Lepisosteus oculatus: one gene and its partners. The protein of the gene in region 3 purifies or fractionates together with the protein of the main gene of each other region. This does not show direct contact. Links are inferred from orthologs where the notes say so. Each region holds a gene or a part of one and is shown on either strand. Other genes may lie near its edges. The genes, in order: mecp2, nuclear cap-binding protein subunit 1, kpna4 and kif22.

What was found.
Region 1: the proteins of kpna4 (region 3) and mecp2 purify together in Homo sapiens (affinity purification with mass spectrometry; 3 studies listed by BioGRID and IntAct, counting the BioPlex papers as one, with this or other methods). This does not show direct contact. The link is inferred for Lepisosteus oculatus from reciprocal best matches to the Homo sapiens genes KPNA4 and MECP2.
Region 2: the proteins of kpna4 (region 3) and nuclear cap-binding protein subunit 1 purify together in Homo sapiens (co-immunoprecipitation; 3 studies listed by BioGRID and IntAct, with this or other methods). This does not show direct contact. The link is inferred for Lepisosteus oculatus from reciprocal best matches to the Homo sapiens genes KPNA4 and NCBP1.
Region 4: the proteins of kpna4 (region 3) and kif22 purify together in Homo sapiens (affinity purification with mass spectrometry; 3 studies listed by BioGRID and IntAct, counting the BioPlex papers as one, with this or other methods). This does not show direct contact. The link is inferred for Lepisosteus oculatus from reciprocal best matches to the Homo sapiens genes KPNA4 and KIF22.

Annotation. Positions count from the first base shown.
Region 1 is NC_090697.1:75,512,625-75,520,099, forward strand, and holds the start of mecp2 (methyl-CpG-binding protein 2), read right to left. Parts: upstream 3,010-7,475; 5' UTR 2,988-3,009; coding exon 2,926-2,987; intron 1,535-2,925; coding exon of another isoform or gene 1,503-1,534; intron 1-1,502. UniProt on the Homo sapiens protein: Chromosomal protein that binds to methylated DNA. It can bind specifically to a single methyl-CpG pair. It is not influenced by sequences flanking the methyl-CpGs.
Region 2 is NC_090696.1:29,818,658-29,826,563, forward strand, and holds the start of nuclear cap-binding protein subunit 1, read left to right. Parts: upstream 1-4,892; 5' UTR 4,893-5,069; coding exon 5,070-5,103; intron 5,104-6,076; coding exon 6,077-6,165; intron 6,166-6,581; coding exon 6,582-6,682; intron 6,683-7,906. Other genes in the region: thiosulfate sulfurtransferase/rhodanese-like domain-containing protein 2, read right to left, coding at 293-408, 767-872, 1,638-1,760, 2,167-2,275, 2,481-2,788, 3,559-3,711. UniProt on the Homo sapiens protein: Component of the cap-binding complex (CBC), which binds cotranscriptionally to the 5'-cap of pre-mRNAs and is involved in various processes such as pre-mRNA splicing, translation regulation, nonsense-mediated mRNA decay, RNA-mediated gene silencing (RNAi) by microRNAs (miRNAs) and mRNA export.
Region 3 is NC_090708.1:5,989,287-5,996,493, forward strand, and holds the start of kpna4 (importin subunit alpha-3), read left to right. Parts: upstream 1-4,203; 5' UTR 4,204-4,343; coding exon 4,344-4,412; intron 4,413-6,592; coding exon 6,593-6,637; intron 6,638-6,941; coding exon 6,942-7,031; intron 7,032-7,207. Other genes in the region: UDP-GalNAc:beta-1,3-N-acetylgalactosaminyltransferase 1, read right to left, coding at 1-665. UniProt on the Homo sapiens protein: Functions in nuclear protein import as an adapter protein for nuclear receptor KPNB1. Binds specifically and directly to substrates containing either a simple or bipartite NLS motif.
Region 4 is NC_090699.1:2,406,921-2,414,483, reverse strand, and holds the start of kif22 (kinesin-like protein KIF22), read right to left. Parts: upstream 3,015-7,563; 5' UTR 2,829-3,014; intron 1,251-2,828; 5' UTR 1,245-1,250; coding exon 1,042-1,244; intron 844-1,041; coding exon 716-843; intron 84-715; coding exon 1-83. UniProt on the Homo sapiens protein: Kinesin family member that is involved in spindle formation and the movements of chromosomes during mitosis and meiosis. Binds to microtubules and to DNA. Plays a role in congression of laterally attached chromosomes in NDC80-depleted cells.

The DNA of each region.
Region 1 (7,475 bases), on a different chromosome or scaffold from region 3:
CAGGGCTGTGAATTAAAAAAAGAACAATTCTTAGATATGAAATGAAAAAATAATATTTCACAAACACGTCTTTTTCCCCCACCCCTTACAAAACATTTCCCAAAAATATGACCGTCTTTCTACACAATGACGCACTTTGAAGACGGCTGTGTGCGGCGCCACTCGAGCTGAAATGCTAAGTACACCGGTGTATTTATCCCGCATCCTGACAATAAAACCTCTCACATCCGCGTTTCTTAGCAATAATCAGCAAAACCACACTTCGATATGTCGCATAAAATTATTCCCTAGACGTTTCGAGTTGAAATTTCTCAGTTTAAAAACAAGGGCATTTGTGTGTTTTTTTTTTTTGGTCGTGGCAAAATGTTAAATCACACACTGCACAGTTCAGACAGATGGATCGTTCCAAGCCCATCTAAGCCCCTCCAAGGACAGAAACTGCCGTTTCATTTTTCTGGTTAAAACACAAAAATACGCGTGGATTTGTATCGCACACAGCACGGATTTGAAACGGAAATGCTAATAGCAGAAAGATGTTAACCTCCAGTGTTTTTTCCCCTAGCATAACAAATGACGCAACAAGCCTGTTCAGTGTATTTGAGAAGCTAGAGGTGTCTTTTTCCAATTCTAAGAAACACAGCTTGTTAAAACAAAACTTTCAGTGCCGACAACTGTAACAATAGATTCGTCTAAATGTTTAAAATATATCTAATCTGTGCTGTACGTAATAATCGACTCGTGTGCACCAGTCTGGTCTTTTTCAAGGGAGGAAAAAAACACACTCCATACACATAAACGAACACACGTTCAGGAATCAAAATACACTTTCATTTTTCTTGCCTATAAAACGGTCAACATCGACACAAACACCACCCAGCTGCATGTTAAAAAATACCAATCTTGACTCATATTTAATCGCGTGTCATTTTCAAATCCAAAAAGTTCATTATTTATACGCATTGTGTGAGGGTGCCGAATCACACAGGACTTTCTGATACGCAGAGAAAAGCTGCCCAGTAGCTCACCCATACCCTTTATTCAAAGTGTTACCAGCACGGAAAGGAAAATCAAAACACGGTCCTTCCCGTGTACTTCTTTTCAGAGCCAAACAGACAGAAAGCTGTGTTTTAAATTCTACTTACAAAGGGGGTGGGGATGCAGTTAGGAAAATAATGCATTAAGTAGAAATCTACACCAATAAAGCAAAATAATATTCGTAACAATGCAGGACTGAGTTCACAGACACATAAAAAATAACCACATATAAACACACACACCTCTTCCCTGTACTAATCGCGCAAATACTGATTTTCTCACCCCACTGAGATGAAAAAGCGGGTGAAAATACTCCCCTTTAATGGGGTATTTACCCCGCCTTCCGTGAGCAAAGAAGATATGCAATTCTTTAAAACAGAGAATTGTATAGTGCACATTGTACGACTCCACTGCTTTCTCGTTTATCTAAAAAGACACAGGGAGAAATATTTTTAATTCACACTTACAGTCTCTCCTCTCCGCTCTCTGCGGCGGCCATTTTTTATATTTAAATAAATAAATAAAAAAATTCACTACACATCTTTTGGAAGCCCCCCCCTCCCCACATCACCCTCCCATCGGTGAGTGTAGCTCTCGCGAGATTACACCATCTAGCCCATAGGAAACTACAGGCTGGGGCCCGGAGTTCCCGCGAGAACTCTATGGCAACTGCGAAGTCAAAAATCTCTCGCTGAAAAGGATCCCCGGAGTAGCCCGCCCCCAACGACCAAGTCCTGCCGTTGATTGGCTACGAGAAACGACACTCATCTACGGTGAATGTCATTGGCTTGCCAGAAAATCACTCAATTGCCTTATCTAGGCGCTGATAGGTTAAAAAAAATGCCAGTCAGCTCCGATTGGTCGAAGAAACGGATCCGTCCAAACATCAGCGGTGTCTGGAGCGCAGCTTCTTCGTTTGAAAGTCCACTAAAACCCGAACTGATTGGCTTTTACTCAGCTCAGTCGTTGGTTCATTATTCCCGAGTTTTTGAATGAGTACTCATGGTCTATCGGAAAAGGTAGCAGGTTTATTATTTTGTTTCCTTGTACGATTTAAAATTACAACCGCGGGAAAACTTTATACACCTAGAGTGAACAATGTCGCTCCATATTTCAGCGGTGAATCTAAAAGCTAATTGTAAAACTTGAGAAATGGCGCAAACTAAGTTTTAAAGAAATCCTCAACAGGAAACCCTAACATGTATTCACATTCTTCTGTTTATACATAGGAGGTAAAGGAGTTGAATTATTCACAGGATACTCCCTTTTTGAAATCATGTGAAACTGTTTCAGCTTAGGGAGATGGTGTTAAATGCTTTCTGAGTAACGCAGATAAACGGTTTTGAAGACATCCGTTCATTAGACTTATACTGAACATGTACAGAACAATGACAACGTTATTGTGAACGGCGACGCATTTTTGCCAATAAAAATGTGTATCCCGACACCGGAGCGCATTCATCTCCTAAACGACCCAGGCGGTACGGACTGCTTACAGCCAAACTGAAACTGAATAGCTAGCAAAGCTAAGAAAGCGGAAAAAAACGTATTGCTGTACAAAAGTGATTACCGAGCATCTTTAAGTGCGAAACGGAGATTCAGAATTGTATGTCTTTGTGGGGGTTTTCCCCCCGATTTTAAAGGAATTTACAGCGATAAACTGAAGCTCGCCCGTGAACAGTTGAGTCTCCGCGTTAAAAGAGTTGAGTGTTTCGCCTACCGCAGTGATACCTGGCAGGTTTCAAACCTCGAAAATAACTTTTTTTTTTGGGGGGGGGATTTTTTATTCGCTGAAAATACGAACGTGGGAAAACTCCGGCCAATTCCTCCTTTCGAAAAGTATACCAAAGCGCCCAGGAAAAAAATAAAAAATACGACGGATAAACTTACCCTTTCACTCCCACCTCGAGGTGAACGAGGCGTATTGGACCGGTACCCGAGGCAAGGCTCATTGTCGCGGCGGCGGGGGGCGTGGGACGATTAAAAGGAAAATTAAAACGAGGTGTGTGTTTTTTCTCTCTCGAAACTACCGGCGGCAGGTCGGCGGAGTGGCCGTTAGCGTTTAAAAAAAAAAAAACCAGAAGTGAACGCCCATCCCAGGCGGCCCGCACGCGGAGGACGCGAGGGAGTCGCCGCGAGCTCCTGCAGCGCGCGCGCGAGAGAGAGGGTTCAGCCGCCTCGTGTGTCCGGTCGCCGCGGCTTTCGGAATGAATGAGGGTCAGAGGTGGCGAGGAAAAGACCAGGTTTTTATTTAATTACATCGTTCGTTAGCTCAACTGGCATTTTTAATTCAGGGTGGGGGGGGACGGGACAGCGCTGCCCTGCCCTTCAGCAGCCAAAGAGGGGCGTCCCGACGAGACGACGCAAAAAGAAGAAATCCTGCCGCGTTTCCGCGAAAACTGTTTCTAACGCAGCAGCATGAACTGTCGCAGCTCTGAAAACGGGTCAGCCGCAGCAGTTTCACTTTGGGTCTGTGCTCTCTTGCAGGCTGGGTGTTTCCTGAAACTCTTGCGGCGCGCAGGTGTAGTTGTTCCGCGCCTGTGCACGTCTTCCACCACGGTCCAGCGGTAGTCTGGCCGCTGTGCTGGCGATGAAGCTCGTCTTGTGCAATAGAATACGTAGATTTGAACGCAAGTAAAGTAGCTATAGTAAAATAAATAAAATAAAACAGGTTACTTTCTTGTTGACTTGTACGACGGTATGGGTCAAAAACACTTTAAAATAAATAAAAGAGTAGTTTAGCGCATTATTTTCCCAGATAGTGTTTGATGGAAGGGGAAAAGCACCTGCTGGCTTCCACGTCTCCCTGCGAAAGCGGCTCGACAGCGAGACACAGGCTCTCCGGGAAACTGCCCCGAGGTGTGGGGCAGGAGCCTGTAGATCAGTCGTGGGTCGTTTTCCGAGGGGACTACAGCCGCTTGTGCCTTCAGTGTCAGCGTACAGAAAACACCGCAAATCTGCGTCGACTGTGATGCAGACGAATGCAGAGAATCCTTCTGAGCCCAAACACCGCTGCTCGCTGGTTCATTCCAATAAAATCGAATGAAAATGCACCTGAGGTGTCCGAGCAGGGTACTGTATGCCACCGGCGCCGTGAAATCCATAATGATTAATAACAATTCCTTACACTTCTATAGCGCTTTTCTGGACACTCCACTCAAAGCGCTGTACAGGTAATGGGGATCCCCTCCACCCCCACCAGTGTGCAGCCCCACCTGGATGATGCTCCAGTCCTCCCCCCACACACCAGCTCTCAGTGGGGAGGAGAGCAGAGTGATGAAGCCAGTCCAGAGAGGGGGGTTATAAGGAGGCCATGATTGGTCAAGGTTATCCTAAAGTGTCACTCTAAAGTTAGACAGGGTTCCTCATGATATACTTTGGGTATTTCAAGGGAGGGCTCTCGGTATTTTATGCTGTTCCCATGGGGCTAGCACACACTGGTGCTTTTCTGCCTTCTGTGTTTTGGGGGGTCGAGTCTAATCACTCGTTTTTCCACAGTATGGATGGTTCCCCCTTAATGGTCCAGAGGCAGAGAGCGGGGGGGAGGGGAATTTTGGGGACCTGTGGCAGACCCCAGAGACCCCTAAACCGAGCCGCTCCAAGACTGAGGCTCTCCTGCAGGAGACGCAGGTGGACTGGGAATTAAGGAATTCAAGGCAGGAGAGCGATGAGACATGCTGTTACACTGCAGGCAGGAGGGGCGACGTTTGATTCAGTCGGACCGGACTGGACCAGACCAGACCAGACCGGTCCTCCCCTTCCCCCGGAGGGCTGGTCAGTCTGCTGGTGCTGCTGCTTTAAGGAGACCTGGAACACCTACAGACACACTGACCGACCCTGCAGGACCAGGACTGGACATCACTGCAGACACACTGACCGACCCTCCTGGACCAGGACTGGACACCACTGCAGACACACTGATGCGACATCGCTCAGATCTCTGAAAGACGCAGTGGGCTTTGTTCTGTTCACACGGGCAGCTGAACCTGAGAGCGGACTGATCCGGGCCTCACCTGCCGTCTTGGGATGTGAAATTCCAGACCCTGTCCTCGTGCACAACGGTCCCTCCCTTTTCCGGCGCCGGAGGCCTCGTTTCCTTCTGCAGCTTCTGGGAGGTCTGTCTCACGCTTCAACGCTGAGCGCGGGTCCAGTCGGGTCCAATCACAGCAGAACGGCTGTCCCAACGAGAGCAAGCACAGCCAGCCCTGGGCCTGTCCAGCAAGTGTCCAGCATGGTCACCCTTAAAGCAGCAGTTTCTGCAACCCTGAGCGATGTCGTCTGTGATGTTTCGTTTGTGTTGTTTTTTTATATTCCTGTAGCAGTTTAACTGTAACTGCCGTAACTGTGCCTAGACAAGAATGGTTGTTAATGAGTCATTTTGAATAAAAGTGCCTGCTCTGACGCTAACGCCCTTAGAACTGCCAACAGTTCAGATGTGAGAAGTGCTGAAACCTGTTTCCTCTCCTGAATTCATCTGCCTGTTCTGTGGCCGGGACAGAGAGCCACAGTCCAGCCGGTTTTCTGGGTGTCCTTTAAAAATACTCCACTTTGTCTGGACCAAGGAATCTGCCCATTCCTGAACTAACTGACCCTCTACGCTTGGTAGGGTGATGGTGACACACACCGGTCCTCTGCCAAGCTGCTGATTGAAGGGCAGCCAGTCGGACTGTGGCTCTGCAGGACCAAAGCTGGGCTCCGCGAGGGAGACAGGCTGTGTGGTTGGGCCCTCTGTAGCCAGTTGGAGGTGGACTGTCTTCTCTAGAGGGGTCAGAGTTCCTGCTTGGCTGTTTCTCCTGTCACTCTCCACCTCTCCGGTGATCCTCGTGTTCTTGCGACAGGGAGAGAGCTCAGAGTCCTGTTGCACAGCAGTTAAGATAAGATAAGATCACTTTATTGGTCGTATGCAATTTCTTGCATTAGGAATTTGTCTTTTCACAGACCCCAGCTTGCTCTCCATGAGACACACAGACAAGGGAGAGAAGCTGGGGGTCAGAGCGCAGGGTCAGCCATTTATACGGCACCCCTGGAGCAGTTGGGGTGAAGGGCCTGGCTCAGGGGCCCAATGGAGTAGGATTCCTGTGCCAGCCGCGGGATTTGAACCGGCAACCTTCCAGCCACAGATCCTCAGCCACAGAGCCGCCGCTCGGCCCCGAAGAGAACTCCTCTGCTGTGCCAGGTTCACACCTGCCGTGGCCCGGATTCGACCCGGGGTCGTTGAGGCCACAACACAGAGTGCTGAGCACTAGACGATCACGGCGAGCTGCCGAGGAGCTGTGTACTTGTCCAGGACGACCCCTCACACCCCGGCCCCTCTCTCTTCCAGCGTGTTCCCTCTCCGCAGAGACCACTGGGGACCCCTAAAAACCAGGACTAACCGACAGCTGCATGGTGTCTCCCCCCGGCCATGACTCTTTCATTTAACGACACACGCTACTGATACTTTCTGTAAATATACACAGCATTCACTGTACACTGTATTAATCAACTGCATAGACTTTTAAATTGTCTACATCACTGAAATCTGTCTTTACCTGTGGATTGCTTTTTTGTTACTCTTTTATCTTATTGGAACTGATGTCGACGCCTGCGCCCAGAGAAATTCCTTGTCTATCTTGTACTGGGCGAATAAAAGGTCCTGGTTCTGTAGCAGAGCAGAAAATAGTTTTTTTTTTACAAACGAGAGGAAACACTGGGCTCGTCAAGCCAGCTCAGTAGTTTAGTAGCTAACCGATCCCAGCATCTCACCCCGCTGTTCCCTGCTAGAAAAAGAAAATTGTGGCTTCCGCATCATGGCTGGGTAGCTTGCACCAGACCTCCACCACTCTTCGTGTAAAGAAGTGCCTCCTGTTTGTAGTTTGAAAAGCATGCGCACGTGGTCCGGTCCTTCGGTTTTTGTAATGTGCTCAAAGCAAGTGGGGAAGCGTGGTGTGGGATGAGCACAAGTTCCTGATACTGCAGGGGCCTGAGGTGGATCTGGTTACTGAGCAATGGGGGTCTGATTTCCTTGCCTGTACCGTGTGACGCATTTACTCTAACGATTTACTTTAGATTCAAAATGAAAACGCTGAAACTTTAATCATTCTAGACGACCACCATGTGAGCTCCCATTAATACTGAAATAGCTCATGGTTTCCTGTGACTGCAAATGAAGGCAACGCGTATTCGTTACAAATTCCCCAACTGTTCCAATACGGGTCTCGTATTAAATGAGCGCTAAGGAAAAAAAAAAACATCACTCCTCCTGCTGTTCCCCGTAACGTCCACCAGAGGGCAGGATACACTTTTCGATGCTTTAAGTCACCTACCAGAGCCCAGCTTTGAGCGGAAAATAATTCCTGATACTTTTATAGCGCTTTTCTGGACACTCCAGAATGATGATGCGACGGCAGCCATAGTGCACCAGTCCTCTCCCCACACAGCAGCTCTCAGTGGGGAGGAGA
Region 2 (7,906 bases), on a different chromosome or scaffold from region 3:
GACACTTCAAAGTATTGTGAAGGGCTTGTCAATATCCTAAGAATTATATTTACAAAATAGTTTCTGCTAAGACATGGTACAATCTGTCAAAATGCTGCTGAGGAAAACTCAAGTTTATAGCCTAAATAGAAGACAGTAATTTCTGAATTCTAAATTAGGATGTAATGTTGAATGGTTCGAGTACAATTTGGTACATCTTGACCTTTATTTAAAACACTAGATTTCCAACAAGTTGAAAGCAAAACAAGTATTTAGTAGAAACTAGATCTGAAACCTGCAGTTGAATACTCACTATTTTGCTCTCATAAAAGTTCCTGCAGTCCAACAAAATCGTGTCATTGCAAGATTCATATTTAGATAAAAAAGCTTCAACTTCCTTGTGAAACTCCTTTGGTTCTAAGTGGGTTCCTGCACAAAAATGAACACAGATTCAGAATAAAAAAAAAAATTTTACTCCCATTTTACATCCATAAATAGATACACTGCATTCACAAAGGATAAATAGATTTAGAAAAAAGGCTGTATGTTATATACATGTGTATATAATTGTATGTTGGTACAATTAACACAAAGCTTAAATAGCAATGAAACTTTTAAAGATGATCTTTGGCGTCTAGATCTAGAGATATTTGTTTAAACCAAATTTAAACCAAAATTCTAATGTATCTGCGAACAAGACTAGACAGCAAAAACATTTTTTTCTTTTTATATTTAAGGAGACAATAAATCTTGTCACCTTATAATAGCTGTATTTTAATATACTTACCGGCAAGCCTATAAGAGAGTATGTCTGGGTCCACCCCCATGGGGACTATTTCTTTAAACACTCCCACCTTCAGGTCCGGGAAGCAGTGAGCCCCACCCTCACTGGTCTGTCAAGGCACACAGTGTAACCTGGCACATGAGTGGTGAAATACTTGCTGACAAAAAACATCTAGGGCTCTTAACTTTGCAGGTAAAGAGGTCTTAAGGTCCATTGGTGCAAACAAGATGACACCCTTTGCCATAACAAATGGGTCTGATGGTGCAAATAAAGGCCCTTGTGCTTAAGAGGTCTCCAAATTCAATCATTTCAAAGCTTACCGCATAAGAATTAAGACAACCCAAATGCAAAAACCTTTGAAGAGCATATAACAGTTGAACATTTTTCATTTATGTACATTTCCGTTCTTGCTAAAATGCATGGTGAATATAAAAACATAGTTTTAAAAATAAATAATTGTTTCAGCTATTAAACCATGGGATGGATGAGAGCAGATGCTTACATCTCTGTAATAGCGATAAATAGTGAAAATGGATAATCAACATTTCGTGTAGTGTCAATTAAATTATATTTTACTCAATAATATTGATTTAAAATGTCATATATCCTGAGATGTTAAAAAAAACCTGCACAGAACACTGAGAAAACAGTGAATGCCTTTTTAGTCTAAATTAAACCCATTTGAGAGTGTGACTTGGCCTTACACCAGTTAAGTAATTCATCAATTAATTCACCACATGGAAACGTGTCCAGTTTCATATAAAAAGAACTGTGATTACAACCTTATCCCAGTTCTTTATCACCCTAAGATATGTTTTCACTCAATAAGCACATCATTAGAGGAGAAGTAGAAAACAAATTGATATCTTCTTACCTTGAAATCATCCAGGCACATGATTTTGAACACTGGGTGGGAAAGCATTGCCTTAATATATAATCCGGTAGCCACTTTGCTGCCTCCTACTGTTCCATTAATTCCTTCTGTGGCAACTCGAATCTACAGACAAATATAGACGTATGGACTTTGTATGAAAACAAACAGCAATGGCTTTGGGGTGTCAAAGGAGATGACTGAACGAGTGGGACCTGATCTAGTTATCTTGCAGTGAGGGCGCTCGGGATTTTTTCCTAATTACATCACAGAAGTGAATGAAATTTTTTGTGTCGCTTAACAGCCTTGAATGGTAGAAATAAAGGCACTTACAAGTTTAGAACTGGTAGGAAAAGGCACAGGACCAACATACACATACATATAGAGAACAACAAACACTACAGTACAGACTGAAGACAGTACTGAGTGAATTCAAGACCTGATCTCTTGGTATCTTCCTACCTTTGAACTATATCACCTTTGAACTGTGATATATTTTTATAGTGCTTACCCACCTGAACTATCTTCCTACCTTGCCTTTTAGGTGCAATTTTTGGCACAGTGCCTTCTGCCAAGCACAGATTAGGTGGGGTCCCTCCACTTCGCAATAGCAGTAATACAGCAGCACTTCACCTGGTCCCCTGGCCAGAAATAGGGGACAGAACCATGAAAATTCAATATATTCACAAACCAGAGTGACATTTTCACACTGTTTCATTATAACTGCAACAATCCAGACTCACCACCATGCAATAGTGTACGTCTTTCATGTTTTGTAAAACAAATTGGGCTTTTGAACTGTGATATATTTTTATAGTGCTTAAGAACAGAACCAAACATCTTTACCCATCAAGCTCTGCCTCGTTTAAGTAACTGATGTCCGGAAGCCAGAGCTGCATGTCCATTACTTCCACTGCCGCAGGTTGGGCTGACGTGTTGCACTCTTTCACATTGCCTCTGCTCCCCAGGAGCGTCAGTATGGCCTTTGTGTGTTCCTGAATCTCCAAATCATGTGCCCTGGCAACGTGCTTGTGGATGGAAGCAGGATCCTTGAAGGTTTGGTCGCAACACTGCCAGTGCTTGTCTGACTGAGCAGAACGCGAATCTGAACCAGATGCTGAAACTTTCTTCGAGTCCACAAAAGTGGCAAATGCCTTCAAAGAAAAATCACTCAAGTCACCCGTGTTGCATTTACTCGGATACGTCCTCACAGTGAGCATTCAAGCCTGCTCTTTACCACCATTTGCTTTGCTCAATGGAAAATATAATAATAATTACTACTTATGCGTGAGCTTAACAGTCTGTCAGTATGTTACTACATAACATGTTAAAACGTACAGTAAAACCACTTCAATTCAAATGAATTTTGTGTCCAAATCACTATATTCTCTCAACTTGCCATAAAAAACCTACGTCGCTGTGCATACAGTGAGCCAGTGTAGTCACAGAGGGGCGGTACATGAGGTCACTCGATCTCAGCAGCTCCAGAAAGGGCTTCAGTAAACTCTGTCATTATAGTTCTGTGACACTCCCTTGGTCATGGTAAAAAATGTTCTATCAATTCTTTGTGATTAAGTTTGCTAGTACAAGTGATCATGGAAATTACTGGATCCTTATTACCATTTTCTTAAATCAAGAAAACAAATTCTTCAATACTCAAGGGTTTAATATTCAAATATAAAATGATAATCTATTATGAAATGAATTTGTACAGCGACCTGTGTAGCTTTAAAGATGGAAGCTGCACATTGGTGGTGGTAGAGGAGAGTCCCCATTACCTGTAAAGAACTTGAGTGGAGTGTCCAGAAATGTTTTATATAAAATGTAAGAAATTATGAATTATTATGATAAAGATAAAAACAAAAAAGATCTCCCTTCCACACTAAGCAGTAAACCTGAAACCCACCATAAGTGAACATCTTACCCTTTTCTTTGCGTATGGAAACATTTTACGTAAGCTAGCTTCATTTGGGGCTTTTGAGATATTTGGAGTTTTGTTGGTAAAGTTCTCATCATCGAGCTCAGAAAACAACAGAGTGCCAGGTTCATCTTCAAGAATACCAGAGGCTGAAGACATTTTTGATGTTCAAATGGTCTCTTCAGCCTCCTGTAAGAGACAAGAGGAAGGTGAACAGAATTGCTGTTAGAACAGAAATAAAGATATTGCTTTGCCATGTAATAAGCCAAACCAGTCTATGTTAGAAAGGATTACATAAATCTGTGGATTTAATTAACATTCATTAAAAACAGATCACAATTTTAAAGAACTTAAGAAAACACAACCACAAAAAACACAACATCTAAAACATTATAAACAATAAAGCAATAACTTCGAATCTATAAAAAAGTAGTATTTTATTTAGCGCATAATTGTTGTTTCAGTTAATATAAACTGCGGGTAATTATCTGCACTGATTCTGGTTACAATATAATTCTTAATGCTAAGGGTTCCTTCTAAAAACAGCTTCTAAAAAGACATCCAAGATGACTTTCATGAAAGATAAAGGGCAATGGAACTGCAGCCTAAAAGTGAAACTGAATACCAAGAGAAAAGAATAAACAAATGTAAACCAGTAATTTATCCATTTATCCTGAAAGAACGGCACAAGGTAGGACTGAGAACACATCACAGGACCAGGTGTACAACACAGAAATTTCCAACAATTTACGTTTCCTCAACGTGTAAAAACGTTGCGTATAAATATAAATTATGAAACTTCGATTTTCAGTGTGCTTAACTTACTTTTCACGTTAACACATTGCAGAGCATCGTGTTTACTGAGGGGGTATCGTTTATTTTTATGTCTAACTTTGCACGTGTGAAGCACATATAATCAGAGACGGCAAAAAACCCAGAATCAGCTGTTTTATAATACCCTAATTATTCCGGGTCTTTTAGCCCAGAGTTCTCCATATAGTCTGTTCGTAGTACTTGATTCACATTAGATTAAGACAATATTTTTTCTGCCACCATACCACAAAACTACACATCTGTGTGTACACCATGCAACTACTCTCACTAATACAACTAAAATCTCGTAATCATCGTTTTACATCCTCTTTCACGTCTCGTCAGTTTTTAAAAAGGTAACCGAACAGAAAGAAATTGCAAAAGTTATAAAAACTCGTCACACCTTACAGCGTCAGCTCCTACGGAGGACAAATGGCATTACACGCCACTTTACTTGAACCAGGGAAGTGTTTCCTGTGACAGGCCGCCTGTCCTCCGGATGAGATTGTGTTCAACTTCAGCGCCATATTGCGGCGTTTGAGGCTGTGTGTGTGTGTAAGGAGCTGTTGTTTCTAGAGGCGTGTGGAGCGTTTTAACCTAGGCGGATTTCGCGCTGCAAGTACAAGATCAAGACGTTTGAATAAGGGGACCGACTGAACTCTGTTACATCTTTAGAGGATTTACCTTTATAATTAAATTAAAAAATGTCAAGGAGGCGGCACAGTGATGAGAATGATGGTAGGTGGTTTTTGTATTAGTTTTGCAATTGAGGCACTGTCCACTTTTGATACATGGCTGTCCACTATCGATCGATGTGCTGTGAAATTTTGTTGACGTCTCACCAAAGAAAGTGATGCAAAGCAGTTTTTAATTGAGAAAATCGTTATCGGTTATGATATGGCCGGTAATAAAATAAGCCTCGCTATTTTAGTAGGAAGTGAAAAAATAAGCAGAATGCCCATTTTTCCCATTTGGAGCGGTTAAATCGAACTTTGTAAAAGTTAATTGCTGTCTTTCTGATAATGTAATAATAAACTTATGAATTATTCATTTATAGTCGTGTGGAAATAGGTGCATAGAGATCAAAGCTACCGCTCATTCATTTAGGGTGCTTGAATACTTTCTATGGCAGATGTAATGTTTGATTCAAATGTTGCACTTCTGAGCGGGCTTTTTTCTTCCTGCAATACATTAGCTACTCCAAATAGCCCACAAATTACAGTTATCTGTATAGCATATGTATGAACATAAATACGGAAAACATTTGATAATGCAGAGTAGATTGAATGTTGCACATAGACTGTAGGCTACAGCTTTGTTTTCCTTGTGTGTCTAGTAACCAGGGACCGTAAGTAACTTTAAATTAACATGAGTTTTAAAATAATATATTTTTGAGAAGAATACATAAAGTTGTATGATGATTTAAACCACCTTTAATTGTTCTATTACATTTTCTTTTCCTTGTAATTTAAAAATAATTGCCTTGAGTAACATTTTGGCTCATTAAGTTTTTTCCCCCCCTTAGGTTAGCATTGCAATTAGAGCTTAAGTAATCTAACTGGGTCTTCTTGATATAATACAAAATTCTTCAGTTCAGATTTCTCTTGAGATTCTTTCTCCAAGGCAATCTATGTTCTCCTCGCTTTCTTTGAGCATATGCAACTTAGAATGTTGATAAGCATAATGTTTCATATAGTGCTCTTTCTAATAGGAGGGCAACCTCATAAACGGAGAAGAACATCAGAACCCATTGAAATCGAAGATCGTCTTGAGTCACTAATATGCAGAGTAGGCGAAAAGGTAATTTTTACACTTTTTTACAATTGAAATAACACTTTTAATTAATTAAGCTGGTAGTCGTACCATTTACTAATCACAAACTGGGCTTGTTTTTATCTGATAATTTACTTTCTTAAAACATGTTAACCTTTCTTTTCAAAATACTGCCTGCTCACAAGTTGAATGTCGTGGTATTTAAGAATATGGATTTACTGCATTTCCAAGCTTTTGTGAAGCGCTTCCTTACAGCATTGTGTGCATATTGCAGTGTTGTGTATATAACGTTTAGTGGAAACCTGAACTCGATGATCTAGTTAAAGTGTTCTCTGATATATTAGCACACCTAGCCTGTATGTTGCAAAGTGGCAGGTTTTTCAGCAAATCTAACATGGGATTGGATTTGTATCATAACTGTGCTTGAATGTGCCCATCCTTAGAGTACGTCTTCATTGGAAAGCAACTTAGAGGGCCTGGCAGGCGTCCTGGAGGCTGACCTTCCAAATTACAAGAGCAAAATTCTGCGTATCCTATGTGCTGTGTAAGTGTTGCCCTTTGTGTTTTAATTTAAACTTCCATACCTGTGTTTGTGTACTTAAAACATCTCACTGGACACTTTAGATATGCATATACAATATAACTTTGATATTCACAAGGTTTTGCAAAGTACTACATTCACAATTTGGCAGATAAACTAGTCACTAATAAATATCTGCATTTGTGTGGATGAACTTTATTACAGTAAAGTAGTGCTGTATTTATAATAGTAATAAAAACTGTAAAAAAAGGGAAGAAGATACGCTTTATTAAGAATGACAGAAACACTAATGCAGATTAGTTCAGGTGGGTAGCTGCGTCAGCATGTGTAGGCTGCAAAGGAACAAGTAATAGGTTTATTCCATGCTGAAAGAAGAAGAAAGAGAACACAACGTTTCGGCCGTGGAGCCTTCTTTGGGTGTGAGCCTTCTTCACACCTGAAGAAGGCTCCACGGCCAAAACGTTGTGTTTTCTTTCTTCTCTTTTCAGTGTGGAATAAACCTATTACTAATACAGAGTAAGCTGTAATGGTGATCTAATTTATTTGTTTACATTTGCAACAACTTGAAAACAATTTAGTTTACAGTTCATTTTCATTAAATACTTTTTACCGGTAGGTGCTGGCACTATTTCTGAAATTCTTAAGTTAAAAAAAAAACATTACTACAGAAATCCTCTTTTGACACGCTTCGCTGTCCTGTTTTCTCCATTAGGTGTTGCATTCCACATTCGCAAAATCATCATTCTTAGAGTCTTCAGTGTACCTAATGCTCATAAATACTGAGGTTTTGTTGTATGCTATACATATGTTAACAAAAATTTGTTAGATGGCTGAATTGCCTCCTTTCCTTCCTAATCTATCCTTATGTTCAAAGGATAATGGACTTGGATATCAAGGGGTAGATTTTCTTGACAGGCACGTATAACTTTATTGAGAAAGTTGATAGTTATTTTTATTCAGCTAGATTTCATAGCACTACATTTAGGTTTGATAAAGCAACCAGTGAAACGCTAACCCCAAAAACTCATAGGAAAAAATAATAAGTTTAGGGCATAAGATTAGATTGGCTAAATCCTGGAAATGTCTTTCTCAAAAACACTCAGAATCAAGTATGATCAATTTGCATTTTGTTGCAATTTGACAAGCTTTCATGTATGTCTCTGTGTAGGTGTTCTATGTTTAATGCTATGTATTGAGCCTGTTGTTTTATTATTAGGGCTCTGTAAA
Region 3 (7,207 bases):
ATAAAGTTTTTACTGCTTCTGCTTCTGTAGGGGTAGCTGTGAACAAAAGGAAAGCCTGTATACAATCCCCCTGAACTATACCTGGTCTTCAGAAGAAACTGAACCAGGTTGATGACGTTAATAAAAACATCTGTGTCTGTTTTCATAATATACTGAGCGCGGGGACAGAATTCATACATCCAGTGGAAGGCCATCCTTGTTTTCAATGTAAGGTTTTCGTATGTGTCTAGAAAGTCTTGCATGATCAAATCCCTGAAAAGAAAATGCTCCTCTTCCAGTGATAACCGTGGCTTAACCGCTGTCTCCTTTTCTCTACCCAGTAAAAATAACGTTAGAATATATTTCCCCTGCAAATATCTCTTACTGCCCCAGGAAGCTCTGATGGCCATTCTGTGCTCTACTCTGCCTGGTGTGGACGCAACGAAAATGACCAGAAAGGGAACTTTGTGTTTACACATAGAAATCTTAGGCAGCAGAAAGGGTAAACAGGGCCTTCTGACTGGTTCGCTTTCGTAAAAATACAGCCAGTTGATTCCCTGGTTTAAAGCCTTGTTGCTGGAATAGGTGGTGTTTGAGGCCAGACTTCGGTTTATAATTAACAACATCAACGTAAGCATAGTAAAAATGAGTCCAAGAAACAACGTTTTAAGAAACATGTGTTTCATTGCATTGATTCAGACTCGGTTAGTTTTTTTTAAGCGAAAATCCATGTTGCCCTGCGGCGGACTGCTGAACCAGTCCAGGTCCAGAGGTGTATTCTGCCTTGCTCCCGCTGCTTGCCGGGATAGGCTCCAGCTCCCCTGCGACCCTGTGTTGGATAAGGCGGTTAGAAAACGATTGGATGAATGGAAAATAAATGGTAATATATGAAGTTTCTACCTTATGTTTGCTCGCATCTTCAGTGCATATATAATCTGGAAACGATCAAAATAAAACTGAACTATTAATCTGCTTTAATACATAGTTTTAAATAGAGTGAGAAAGGTAATCTTGTGTATCTCCCGATCGTTTTACACAATGGGACATTACACGTGGAAATCCAAGCTAAATGTTATTCCACATTTTGCAATAAATGCATCTCAGTAATGAAGATGCAGAGATATGGCACGCCGACTTAAACCATTACTTTCTGATTTCGGCCTTTACTATAAGTTATCATATCTCGAAGGCTATACTTTTGTGTAAAAGCAAGATAATTCAATTTTGACAGGAAATACCCTCGTTTGATAGTTGAACAATACAAAGGCTTTCAGAACTTTTATACAATTAAAAAAAAGATACGTATGTGGGTGAAAAAAATGTTTTCTCCATGCCTATATTCTATATTTTTACATCTGTATCTTTGAAATTTACCTTTTAAGAAAGCAGGGAGAAAGCAGAACGCTCGGGACGCTTTTAAATAGAAATAATGAGATTTTTCCAAGAGGATCAGCCACCCAAAAAGATTGCATCTACCCTGGTCAAAGTATGCACGTACAGTAAACGTAATGAAGATTAGGGGGAATGCCAATAAATTTAGAAAGTAAACAAAACGACCAGAACGAAAATGACGTCTTAGCTACAGTACAGTTTTTAACTTACCATCTGCAAACCTGAAAAAGATCTTGGAAAGCTGAAGGAATCTTCTCGATTCGTCTCCCGCAATGGTATCCAAAGAGACGATTTGAATATCGCGTAGATTTTTTTAAATGAAGAAATTAATATATTTAAAAGCCTAAAACGCTGACACCAGTTACAAAAATTTGCATTTTCTAAGGTATCAAAGGGGTTTTCAGCGAAATTCATTTAGAAGTATTTGACTTTCTAGCTTACGTAAAAGAAAGAGTTAAAGAATTTAAAACAATTCAAGTCAAGTAAAAGAGATGCAAGTGTTTTTTTAGATTAGCATCTGATGTAGTCATATAATCGTATTGATTCTTCGTGTAAGGTTTCGCCTACACTTGACGGCGTACATGTACCTCCTATTCTTGGTAACGCAATAACAGGTGAGTCTGCGCTTGTGAAAGGAGGTTCCCGCAGCGGGGTGTGGATTTGTGAAACAGGTTAGGGCAGCCTTAACGTACAGTACAATTTACAACTAGGCTGTATGCTTCGTAAACCATATCAGTCTCGTATACTGTGGCGACGTGTGACTATAGGTGGTCTCAATTCGGAGCAATTTGGACTTTTTGGTCGTATCTTGAATTGTAAAATCATCGTCAGCAGCCACATCACCCTGCAACCCACAACTGGCAACCCACTGAAGCTAAGCAGGTGTGAGCCTGGTCCTGGATGGGAGACCTCCCGGGAAAAGAATAGGGGTGTAACCCCGGCGTCCTGGCCAAATTTCCCATTGGCCCTTACCAATCATGCCCTCCTAATAAGCCCCCTCTGGCGCACTATGGCTGCTGTCGCATCATCCAGGTGGATGCTGCACATTGGAGGTGGTGGAGGGGAGTCCCCATTACCTGTAAAGCGCTTTGAGTGGAGTGTCCAGAAAAGCGCTATGTAAGTGTGAGCTATTATTATTGTTAATTGTCCCTTCAAAACTGGGACATCCTCGAATAATAAGGTTTTGGATACAAGCTGTATTTTGACAGCTTTGAATTGATTCCCAAACTGCAGGACAAGCGAGGATGCACACCTCCTGTCGACAGGTCCTTGGCACGCACCTCTCCATCCCTGGATTAGGCTTGTAATAGACCCTGACAGCGAATTCGTGTCGAATGGGATGCTCATTGGACGCGTTATTACGGGCGCCCGCTCCGAGTGGCCAGAAAGTAAAGCGCATCGTCACTGCGAGCGCACGTAGTCGGGTTTCCAAGCGGGGTCGGCGATGGGCCTCGGTGGACCCCAGTCACAGAAAGCTGGCAGTGTTTCTGAGCTCCAACAGTCTGAAGCATATTTGAGGTGCGATTCTACACGATTTAATTCCAGGTAATGTGAAACTGATGAACAAATTGAAATAAGATTGATTCCAGTAGACATGAATATTACTGATGTCCGGGTCATATTTTGCCTAATTCTCAGGTTTTACTTTAACAGTACCCTCACATTCATAAAAATACATCAACTCTTTACCTAAGACGCACCTCCTCAGTGACCTATTTATGCCACAAGAGGACACTTTCATCTCTAAATTGTTACAAGAATTCTGTTTTTTTTTTAATTATAAGAAACTGCATATATAATAACAACTTCTACATTCAGATCAAAACAGTCGCACATGTATTTTGGAATCTGTGCAATAGACTAATGGATGTGGACATGAAAAGTATTTTACACAAAAGTGTGAACTACAATTATCGTTTCAAAGTCTCTAACAGGAAGGAAAATGCTTCATATATATATTGCAAAAAGCTGAATGCTTTATTAAATAAAAATATTTACAGATACAAAAGCAAATGCTGCTAATTGTTGGTTAATTAATTTAATAATTCAGAAGGGGAATAACAGAGCTGTCAGGATATGTTCCAGCAAAACACCAAATTGAACAGAATTTCTATTGTAACGCTTACGGCCGACAAGCACTGTGTGTAAGATCACCGCCCTTCCCTGTGATAGCAGGACCACAGCTACTGGGCTGTGGAGAGATCTCTCTTTAGCTCACAGGGCTAGGTCGCTGCAGAGAGACACGGAAGTCCCGGGTTCGAGCCTCCAGTCGGGATGGGGCCGACCAGATGCGGCAAGGGCGCCCGCCGGAGCCCCCGTTGCGTTACAATATATTCAATAGGATATTCAATAGGAAGATCAATAATAATCAAATGTTTCTAATCATAGAACTGCTAATAAGCTATAATACCACTTCATTATAAACTTAATATTTATGCATTTAATGACATTTAAAAATGCTACAAGGTACCATGCAAGGTATCATATCATGACATCAACACTAACAGCCTATTTTACTACATTATTCCTGTTACAGTCTGGTGCATTGCAGCATAGTTTCTTTGAGGAAAAGGCCGATTCGAATACTAATTTTAATTCGTATTTTTATGTACCCTATAAAACACGTAGCTATATGTAGCTCGTATGCCTTTTTTTTATATCCATGAAAACCAAAGTGCAAGCTGGAATTTATTGCGCTTTATTGTAATTACCGCTGACGAGCGCGTCTCCGAGCACGCGTATTGAAATTAAATTTCCCTCGCTCGCCGACCAATCCGTGACGACAAAGGCCCGCCCCTCCTCCGCCGCGGCCAGAGCGAGGCTGGGCCTGTACCGGCATTCCCACAACCCCCTGCGAGGAAGCCAGAGAAAAGAGTCCGGTAACTGGAGGGGCTGAGAGAAAAGAAACACACGAAAGAGATACGTCGCCCAAATCATAGTAATTACAAATACATATTTTTTTTTCCCCCAACATGGCCGACAACGAGAAACTGGATAATCAGCGGCTGAAGAATTTCAAAAACAAGGGCCGGGATTTGGAGGTATTTGTTTTCTTCTTGACTTTTTCGGTGTGCCTCTCTCTCTCTCTTTTTGGCGAGTCTGTGTGTGTTATTTTGTTTCAGGTTCCGCTGTGACGTCTTTAGTAATTTCCAGGATCTCGAAGTTTGCACCCAGCCCAAGCCAGGCCCCAGCTCCCTGCGGCTTCGACCGAGGCCTAATTCAGCCCCAGCGCTGGGCAGATCGCTCCCTGCCCAGCACGCAAAACTTCGGGGCAGGGATTCAGGGGCTGGGAGGCAGGCCAGGCCGGGGCTCGCTTACTGGGCTCCGCAAACGCCTTTGTTTTTTTTTTATGACTGGAAGAAGCTGGGTATGGTGGTGTGCTGCTCTACCCCCGAAGCTTATTCCGGGGCTGTTGGGAGCTTCTCTGCTAAAGCGAAAGTGTTACTTGGTGCGTCTTTTGTGGAGTTGATTTTTTTTTCCCTTCCTTCTCTCCGCGTGGTTGGAGTTGTTTGGATGTGGCGAAACACGAACAACGATTGATCTAACCCACAAAACTTCCCAAACGTCTGTTTCTAGATCTCTTAAAAAAATAATTCCACGGCGTTCTAGTCTGCAGTCCTTCGTTACCACCCAAGTTAAGAAATATTACGTTCTGGGTAACGTTCTTATTTTTGTTTCCTTTTCTAAAGTCGATATTATATAGCATTGAAAATTGGAAGTCATGTGCTTCTTTTTCCAAAACTTAAAGGAAATCTCTTGAGAACGTGAACTATCTGGTAGATGTTACATAATACTAAGCGGCCCAACACGTCCTAACGTGAGAAAAGAGACGAAGTCTTTCTTTTTTTTCATCTGGTAAAGCAGTTTCCTTGTTGACGCATCAGGCTTTACTTCTGGATCAGACTCCAACATTTGGACTTTTAAATTTTGGTCTTCTGTACTTAATAATGCAAAGGAACATACACAGATCTGTACGGAGGCATGAATATAATGTTCAGACCTTTGTCAGTTTTGGCCAAAACGTCCAATAGTCTGAGCGGACTGTATTTCTACATATATAGGACCATTTAAGATTCTGTGAAGTTCATCATTTCACTTTCCTTAATTGCCACTCAGCCACCCTTTTCATAAAAAAGAAATGAATATAGCTGTGCTGCACCTTTTGTTTTTTTATTTTATAAAGCAATTAAAATGATTGAGGACCATACTCTAAAACATGAGCCATCTAAGCATCTGTATTTGTATTCATTTAGGTTGTTCTACCATTTATTTAAAATTTGACATGCTGTTGCAGGTCTTTATACTTGATTTAAAATGTCTGAGTGTCCCACCCTACATTAATCACCATTAGGATTTCTGAAGATATTTCATGCTTTCAAGCACATCATTTTTCTTCTTTCCTATTAATTCTAGTCTTGGGATAGTGAAATAAAGTGCCCCACCCCTTTTCTGTAAAACATAAACCTGAATCCAGTGCGTTACTGTTAACATCATAGGGATCCACAGTCATGGAGCCGAACTCAAAGTAATAAAATCAGTATCAGTGCTGGCCAGTTGTGAAGTCATACTGAAGGTTTTAGAAATGTCTTGAATGTTACTGTGCTTTTGTGTGCTCAGTGCTGTCCTGTGCCTTGTGGATTAAATTCCAGAGGCGTGTGAGGGATTTCTAAGCTTAAGCCCTGAGTGAACTGCCCCTTCCTGCTACATTACTCACTGCATATGGTATGAAATTGGCTAACTGTGTTACGCTGAAATGCTGTCACATTGCACAGTAAACCATTGTTAAATCCTGGACTCTCTCCAGTGGGCTGTTTTTTTTTAATGAAGAAGGTTTTTTAACCTGAAGAAGGCTCCACGGCCGAAACGTTGTGTTCTCTTTCTTCTTTTTTTCAGCATGGAATAAACCTATTACTTGTTCCTTTGCAGCCTACGCATGCTGACGCAGCTACCCACCTGTTTTTTAATGTTGTCACACTTGATAACCATGTTGTCCTGTACTGTTCTCTGGGTGTGTCACTGAGGTATCACAAGTATTCAAAATGTACAAGGGTGGGAGGTCATTTTAATACTTCATTGCATACTAGAAGCTCCTTTCATCATTTCCAAAAAGTTGTATGTAACTGTTGGAGTGACTACATTTGTCTTAGTAGTCCCTCTGAGAATGTCAGATCTTTCAGATGAGTAGAATATTAAATGTTTTTGTATTTTCCCCCTTATCCAGACAATGAGAAGACAGAGGAATGAGGTGGTTGTGGAACTTCGCAAGGTATTGATTTTCTGATTCATCAGAAGTTTCGTAGTAGCCCTTAACTTTTACAATGTTCATTTGTAATCTAATTGTTTTGGATATGCAATGACGTGTAACTTTTGAATTGGAGATTTGTTTATTAAAATGTGAATGTAATGTTTAGTAACTTTAAAAGTTGAAAGGTATTACTGTCTGTTGAACTCAGTAAGAGCTCAGGCTATATTCTAAAAATGCACAAAATCTGTATGCATTTGAAATTCATTCAATCAAAACTCACAAGCTTTTTTTGTCATTTGTTGTTACTGACACATCTGATTCATAGAATAAGAGAGATGAACACTTACTGAAAAGGAGAAATGTCCCTCATGAAGATATTTGTGATGACTCTGATGTAGATGGCGATTACAGAGTGGTAAGGATTGCTGTTGGTGTCTTCCATGTAAAAGTAAATAGTTTTTCAAAAACTGAAAATGCTAAACTGGTTGCATTCATTACAAACAATTGCTACCCAACTCATTGTGGTGTACCAGTTTTAATTTATTTTAAGCATGTAATTTAATATTTTCATTTTTATTCAATTCTGCATTG
Region 4 (7,563 bases), on a different chromosome or scaffold from region 3:
GCGGACCAGCTGGAAGAGCTCCCTGACGGCTCGCGGGATGATCCCAGGCTGCTCAGCGCTGCCCAGCATGGTGTGGGTCTTCCCTGCAGGGGTCAGGGGTCAGGGGTCAGAGAGACAGGACACCAGGAGAGGGGGGTCAGGGGTCAGGGCAGCAGGAGAGGGGGTTTGGGGGTGAAGAGAGACAGGACAGCAGGAGAGGGAGAGACAGGGGGTCAGGGGTCAGGGCAGCAGGAGAGGGGGTTTGGGGGTGAAGAGAGACAGGACAGCAGGAGAGGGGGAGACAGGGGGTCAGGGGTCAGGGAAGCAGCAGAGGGAGAGACAGGGGGTCAGGGGTCAGGGCAGCAGGAGAGGGGGTTTGGGGGTGAAGAGAGACAGGACAGCAGGAGAGGGGGAGACAGGGGGTCAGGGGTCAGGGAAGCAGCAGAGGGAGAGACAGGGGGTCAGGGGTCAGGGCAGCAGGAGAGGGGGTTTGGGGGTGAAGAGAGACAGGACAGCAGGAGAGGGGGAGACAGGGGTCAGGGAAGCAGCAGAGGGAGAGACAGGGGGTCAGGGGTCAGGGCAGCAGGAGAGGGGGTTTGGGGGTGAAGAGAGACAGGACAGCAGGAGAGGGGGAGACAGGGGTCAGGGAAGCAGCAGAGGGAAAGACAGGGGGTCAGGGGTCAGGGCAGCAGGAGAGGGGTACAGAGGGACTGGGGGACAGGAGACACACACTGACCTGCCCCCGTGGGCCCGTAGGCGAAGACGCTGGCGTTCTGTCCGGCCAGCAGGAAGGGGAGCACAGGCCTGACGGAGGAGAGGTAGACCTCCTGCTGAGAGCTCCTGTCCCCGTGGAGAATGTCAAACCTGCAGCAGAGCTGAGCGTCAGGGGTGGCCCCTGTCTCTGTCACACACACAGACACACAAGGCACACACAAGACACACAGACACACAGACACACAGACACACAGACACACAGACACACAGACACACAGACACACAGACACACAGACACACAGACACACAGACACACAGACAGCTCCCGTCTCTCTCTCTCGGACTCACTGGTAGTGCAGCGTCTCGTTCGTGTTCCTCCAGTTGACGATCTCCAGGCCCTGTGTCCCAGCAGCCCTCACACACGGCCCCTCTTTCTTCTCGTCCTCTGCGGACATGAAGGGGCGCAGGCGCACGGCCACCCGCAGGCGGGCAGGGGGGGGGCGCCGTGACGCCCCCGCCTCGCCCGCGGCAACCCTCTGAGGCAGCGCCATGGCGACCTGGGGAGGGGAGAGGGGCGCTGAGGGCATGCCTTCGCCAGAGCGGCAGACCGGGCCGGACCGGACCGCGGTTGTGACCCAGTCAGTCTACAGGGCGAGGGCACAAGTGTACACAAGTGCATGTTTGTGTGAGCACGAGGGCACGTTTGCGCGAGCCTGTGCGCGCGAGCACGAGGGCACGAGGGTAAAAACCTCCTTCTTCCACTCAGAAATATTGCCCGACGTTAACCGTTACTGGTCAACACTAGAACTGACCACTGTAACACTCCACTCGCTGGGGGTTTCTGAATCCACCCTGAACAAACCCCAGTCTGTCCAGAGTCCTGTCCGGGTCCAGTGCAGGCGATCCCATCACTCCTGTCCTGGAGCCCCTGCACTGGCTTCCTGTCTGGTTTCATGTCCAGGCCCAGATCCTCCTGCTCACCTGTAAGACTCTGCACGGCTCAACGCCTCAGTACCTGTCTGAGCTGCTCTCGTCCTGCGCCCCCACTCCTCTGAGCCTGCTCTCAGAGTGTGGGCTTCTCCTGCTGCGCCCCCGAACCCCAGGAGCTGTATCCCCAGGGGTGTCAGAGAGCCCCCCAGCCTGAGCTCGTCCACATCGTCTAATTCTGCTCTCCTGTCTGTCCCCCAAGACTGTCGACACTCTGGGGGTGACAGGGACTTCTCCTGCTGCACCCCAACACTCAGGAGCTGTATCCCCAGGGATGTCAGAGAGCCCCCCAGCCTGAGCTTGTCCACATCGTCTAATTCTGCTCTCCTGTCTGTCCCCCAAGACTGTCGACACTCTGGGGGTGACAGGGACTTCTCCTGCTGCACCCCAACACTCAGGAGCTGTATCCCCAGGGGTATCAGAGAGCCCCCCAGCCTGAGCTCTTCCACATCGTCTAATTCTGCTCTCCTGTCTGTCCCCCAAGACTGTCGACACTCTGGGGGTGACAGGGGCGTCTCCTGCTGCGCCCCAACACTCAGGAGCTGTATCCCCAGGGGTGTCAGAGAGCCCCCCAGCCTGAGCTCGTTCACATCGTCTAATTCTGCTCTCCTGTCTGTCCCCCAAGACTGTCTACACTCTGGGGGTGACAGGGGCTTCTCCTGCTGCGCCCCAACACTCAGGAGCTGTATCCCCAGGGGTGTCAGAGAGCCCCCCAGCCTGAGCTCATCCACATCGTCTAATTCTGCTCTCCTGTCTGTCCCCCAAGACTGTCTTCACTCTGGGGGTGGCAGGGGCTTCTCCTGCTGTACCCCAGGGGTACCAGAGAGCCCCCCGGCCTGAGGGGTGTGACCTCAGTCCTGCTCTGTGCAGGGTGTGTGTGACTGCGCCGGACGGACACCGGCTCAGAGCGGGTTTCTTGTTTTGTTTGTTTTGCCGTTGTTCCCTAAAGCGCTCCGAGAAGCCCCTTTTCTCAAAAAAAAAAGCCACATAGAAATAAAGATACTCCAAAATAAGAAGAAATAAGAATAAGAAACCCCAAAAGAAGAAATAAAGCAGTTTCTCGGAGTGAATTCATCCTCCGGCCCGGCCCGGTCACCGAAATTCACTCCCCGACCCCGACCCCGGATCGGAACCGGCCGGCCTCTTACCGAACCTCGGCTCCAAACTCTCCCGGCGTGGCTTCAGTCCCTCGGGTACAGGTACGGGTGGAGGAGGTGAAATGAACCCAGGAGAAACACAGAGAAAAACCGGACACAGCGCGGCTCCGCGGGCCGCACACAAACACGGGCCGTTACAGGATTTTCAAACCTGCGGGCTCGGGGCCTCGCGGCAGGCGATCCCACCAATCAGCGCCCGCCGAAGGGCCTGACGTCACGCAAGCGAAAGGAGGGCGAGCTGCGATTGGGTGAGGCGATGAAGATGCCACCTCCAGTGGGCGGGGTTAGAAAGAGACCCGGGGGCTGTGCTTGGCTGGGGCGTCGGGAAGGCTTAGACTGTGATTGGTCGCGGATCTGTGAAATCGCTGAGGCAGTAGCGTCCACGACATAAGAGCCCACCCAACTTTCAAAGGAGACCAATCACAAGAGTCTTTAACCAACCGGGCCAATCGGGATTGAGCGAGTGAGCGCACGTCTGGGCCGGAAGTAGAGGAACGACAGACGGAAACCGGAAGAGGAAGTGGCCCAAGATGGCGCTTTGTTTACAGTGGATACTAGGCGCCGAAGGTTGGAAACGTTCTTCGCGGCGGGTTGAATTGACCCATGAATTTCACCTGTTGTAACACTGTCGATTTATCGTATCCTGCGCCATCACCATCTCTGGAGTTCTCGTCCCATGTTTGTCTTCAACTCAGTGTCTTCGGCGCTGTTTTAGTACTTGGAAGATAGAGAACGGTAAATATCAGTGTGTCTGTATGAACCCCTCTCTCTCTCAGTGCAGTGTTAATGTACTGGAGTGTCCAGTCAGTGTGTGTGTATGAACCCCTCTCTCTCAGTGCAGTGTTAATGTACTGGAGTGTCCAGTCAGTGTGTGTGTATGAACCCCTCTCTCTCTCAGTGCAGTGTTAATGTACTGGAGTGTCCAGTCAGTGTGTCTGTATTAACCCCTCTCTCTCTCAGTGCAGTGTTAATGTACTGGAGTGTCCAGTCAGTGTGTGTGTATGAACCCCTCTCTCTCTCAGTGCAGTGTTAATGTACTGGAGTGTCCAGTCAGTGTGTGTGTATGAACCCCTCTCTCTCTCAGTGCAGTGTTAATGTACTGGAGTGTCCAGTCAGTGTGTCTGTATGAACCCCTCTCTCTCTCAGTGCAGTGTTCATGTACTGGAGTGTCCAGTCAGTGTGTCTGTATGAACCCCTCTCTCTCAGTGCAGTGTTAATGTACTGGAGTGTCCAGTCAGTGTGTCTGTATTAACCCCTCTCTCTCTCTCTCTCTCTCTCAGTGAAGTGTTAATGTACTGGAGTGTCCAGTCAGTGTGTCTGTATTAACCCCTCTCTCTCAGTGCAGTGTTAATGTACTGGAGTGTCCAGTCAGTGTGTCTGTATTAACCCCTCTCTCTCTCTCTCTCTCTCTCTCTCAGTGAAGTGTTAATGTACTGGAGTGTCCAGTCAGTGTGTCTGTATGAACCCCCCTCTCTCTCAGTGCAGTGTTAATGTACTGGAGTGTCCAGTCAGTGTGTGTGTATTAACCCCCCTCTCTCTCAGTGCAGTGTTAATGTACTGGAATGTCCAGTCAGTGTGTGTCTGTATTAACCCCTCTCTCTCTCAGTGCAGTGTTCATGTACTGGAGTGTCCAGTCAGTGTGTGTGTATTAACCCCTCTCTCTCTCAGTGCAGTGTTAATGTACTGGAGTGTCCAGTCAGTGTATCTGTATTAACCCCTCTCTCTCTCAGTGCAGTGTTAATGTACTGGAGTGTCCAGTCAGTGTGTGTGTATTAACCCCTCTCTCTCTCAGTGCAGTGTTCATGTACTGGAGTGTCTGTATTAACCCCTCTCTCTCTCAGACTCATGCAGTCTGCAGAGTCCTCGGACTCCTGCCTCAGAGAGGGGATCCAGTCTCTGGGTGTTGGGGAGCGAGAGCGACCAGAGAGAGCAGCGCAGGCTGAGGACGGAGGAGAGGAGGAGAAAGAGGAGCAGGAAGAGCTGGAGGAGGAAGATGAAGATTGTGTCAGAGAGACAGGGGAGTCCCAGCAGGGAGAGGGAGAGAGGGACGGAGATAAAGGTAAAGTGTTCTGTGTGCTGCGTGCGTGTGTGTGGTGACCTCTCTCTCTGTCCAGTGTGTGTGTGTGGTGACCTCTCTCTCTCTCTCTCTCTCTCTCTCTCTCTCTCTCTCTCTCTCTCTCTCTCTCTCTCTCTCTCTCAGTGCAGTGTCAGTGTCAGTGTCCAGACTGTGTGTGTGGTGACCTCTCTCTCTCTCTCTCTCTCTCAGTGCAGTGTCAGTGTCAGTGTCCAGACTGTGTGTGTGGTGACCTCTCTCTCTCTCTCTCTCTCAGTGCAGTGTCAGTGTCAGTGTCCAGACTGTGTGTGTGGTGACCTCTCTCTCTCTCTCTCTCTCTCTCTCTCTCTCTCTCTCTCTCTCTCTCTCTCTCTCTCTCTCTCTCTCTCTCTCTCTCAGTGCAGTGTCAGTGTCCAGACTGTGTGTGTGGTGACCCCCCTCTCTCTCTCTCTCAATTCAATTCAATTCAAGATGCTTTATTAGCATGACCGATGGGTACAATCAGTGTTGCCAAAGCAAAGAAAAATAATAAAATTAACATAGAACAAAACAAAAAATAGAAGTAAAATAAAATCTACAGACATGTTACAGACATTTACAACAAAGACATATTATATAATATTGACATATACTGTAGGCGGCTGGAGCATTATTGGGAGACGGACTCACTGTTCCTCAGGCTGGGACAGGAGATCACATACTGGGCTGCCAGATCAACTGAGTTCCCTCCTCCCTCTCCCAGTAGGATTGGGACCTGTTGTGGTTTTGGCAGGTGTGGGAACTCGGGGATTAGATTTCTGAATTTCGGGAAGAATGTTTCTCTAATCCCAGAGTATCTGTCACAGTGCAGTAGGAAGTGCACCTCTGTCTCTATTTCTCCCTGCTGGCAGTGGGAGCACAGCCTGTCCTCTCTGGGCAGCCAGGTCTGCCTGTGTCGCCCAGTTTCTATGGCCAGGTTGTGGTCACTGAGCCTGTACTTCGTCAGGGTCTGTTTCTGTTTGTTATTTTTTATTTTGGTCAAATATTCAGCTAGTGTGTATTGTCTGTTTAAGGTTCTGTAGCATTCCAGTTTATGTTGTGTTTGTGTGTGTGTGTCCCAGTGTGTGAGATATTGCTGTTTGATCTGTGCTGTGATGTGGTTGAGTCTGGGTTGTGGTGCTCTAGCAGTGCTGTCCTGAGGCTGGTTAGTGTCAGTGTGGCTCAGGTCGGTGAGCCTCAGGACCAGCTGGCTCAGGGGGCTCTGTTTTGGGCTCAGCTCTTGGCTGAGCAGGGCTTTGTGGTGGTAGGAATTTTGGTCGCTGTTTTTTAGGTGTAGCCAATACTTTAATATTCTTTTCTGTATGTTTATCAATAGTGGGTACTGGCCTAATTCGGCCCTGCACCCGTTGTTAGGAGTTTTTCTCTGCACACGGAGGATGATTCTACAGATCTCCATGTGCAGAGTTTCTGTGGGGTGTTTGTCCCATTGGGTGTAATCCTGGTCTGTGAGGGGACCCCAAACTTCACTGCCGTATAGGGCAATGGGTTGGATTACACTTTCAAATATTTGGAGCCAGATTCTTGTTGGTGGGTTGATGTTGAAGAGCCTCCTTCTTATTGCGTAAGAATCTCTCTCTCTCTCTCTCTCTCTCTCTCTCTCTCTCTCTCTCTCTCTCTCTCTCTCTCTCTCTCTGGTCCAGGTGGAGAGATGGACAGAGTGCAGAAGGAGGAGTGGGGGGTTCCCTGCAGTGACGAGGAGATCGAGGACCCGGAGCACTGGACACCCCCTCCAGAGGAGATCAAGCGTCTGTACGGCATCCTCGCGCAGGGGGGCGTCCTGGAGCTGAGCCTGCCCCCACTGCCCCGCAGACCCCCCACCCCCGAGCACAGCAGCTCCCCCGAGGGAGACGGCGAGGACTCGGAGGAGGAGAGGGAGAGGAGAGAGAGGGAGGAGAGGGAGAGAGACAGGTGAGTCTGGACTGGCAGGAGGAGAGGGAGAGAGACAGGTGAGTCTGGACTGGCAGGAGGAGAGGGAGAGAGACAGGTGAGTCTGGACTGGCAGGAGGAGAGGGAGAGGAAAGAGAGGGAGGAGAGGGAGAGAGACAGGTGAGTCTGGACTGGCAGGAGGAGAGGGAGAGAGCCAGGTGAGTCTGGACTGCCGGGAGGAGAGGGAGAGAGACAGGTGAGTCTGGACTGGCAGGAGGAGAGGGAGAGGAGAGAGAGGGAGGAGAGGGAGAGAGACAGGTGAGTCTGGACTGGCAGGAGGAGAGGGAGAGAGACAGGTGAGTCTGGACTGGCAGGAGGAGAGGGAGAGGAGAGAGAGGGAGGAGAGGGAGAGAGACAGGTGAGTCTGGACTGGCGGGAGGAGAGGGAGAGGAGAGAGAGGGAGGAGAGGGAGAGAGACAGGTGAGTCTGGACTGGCAGGAGGAGAGGGAGAGAGACAGGTGAGTCTGGACTGGCGGGAGGTGAGGGAGAGAGACAGGTGAGTCTGGACTGGCGGGAGGAGAGGGAGCGAGACAGGTGAGTCTGGACTGGCGGGAGGAGAGGGAGAGGAGAGAGAGGGAGGAGAGGGAGAGAGACAGGTGAGTCTGGACTGGCAGGAGGAGAGGGAGAGAGACAGGTGAGTCTGGACTGGCAGGAGGAGAGGGAGAGGAGAGAGAGGGAGGAGAGGGAGAGAGACAGGTGAGTCTGGAC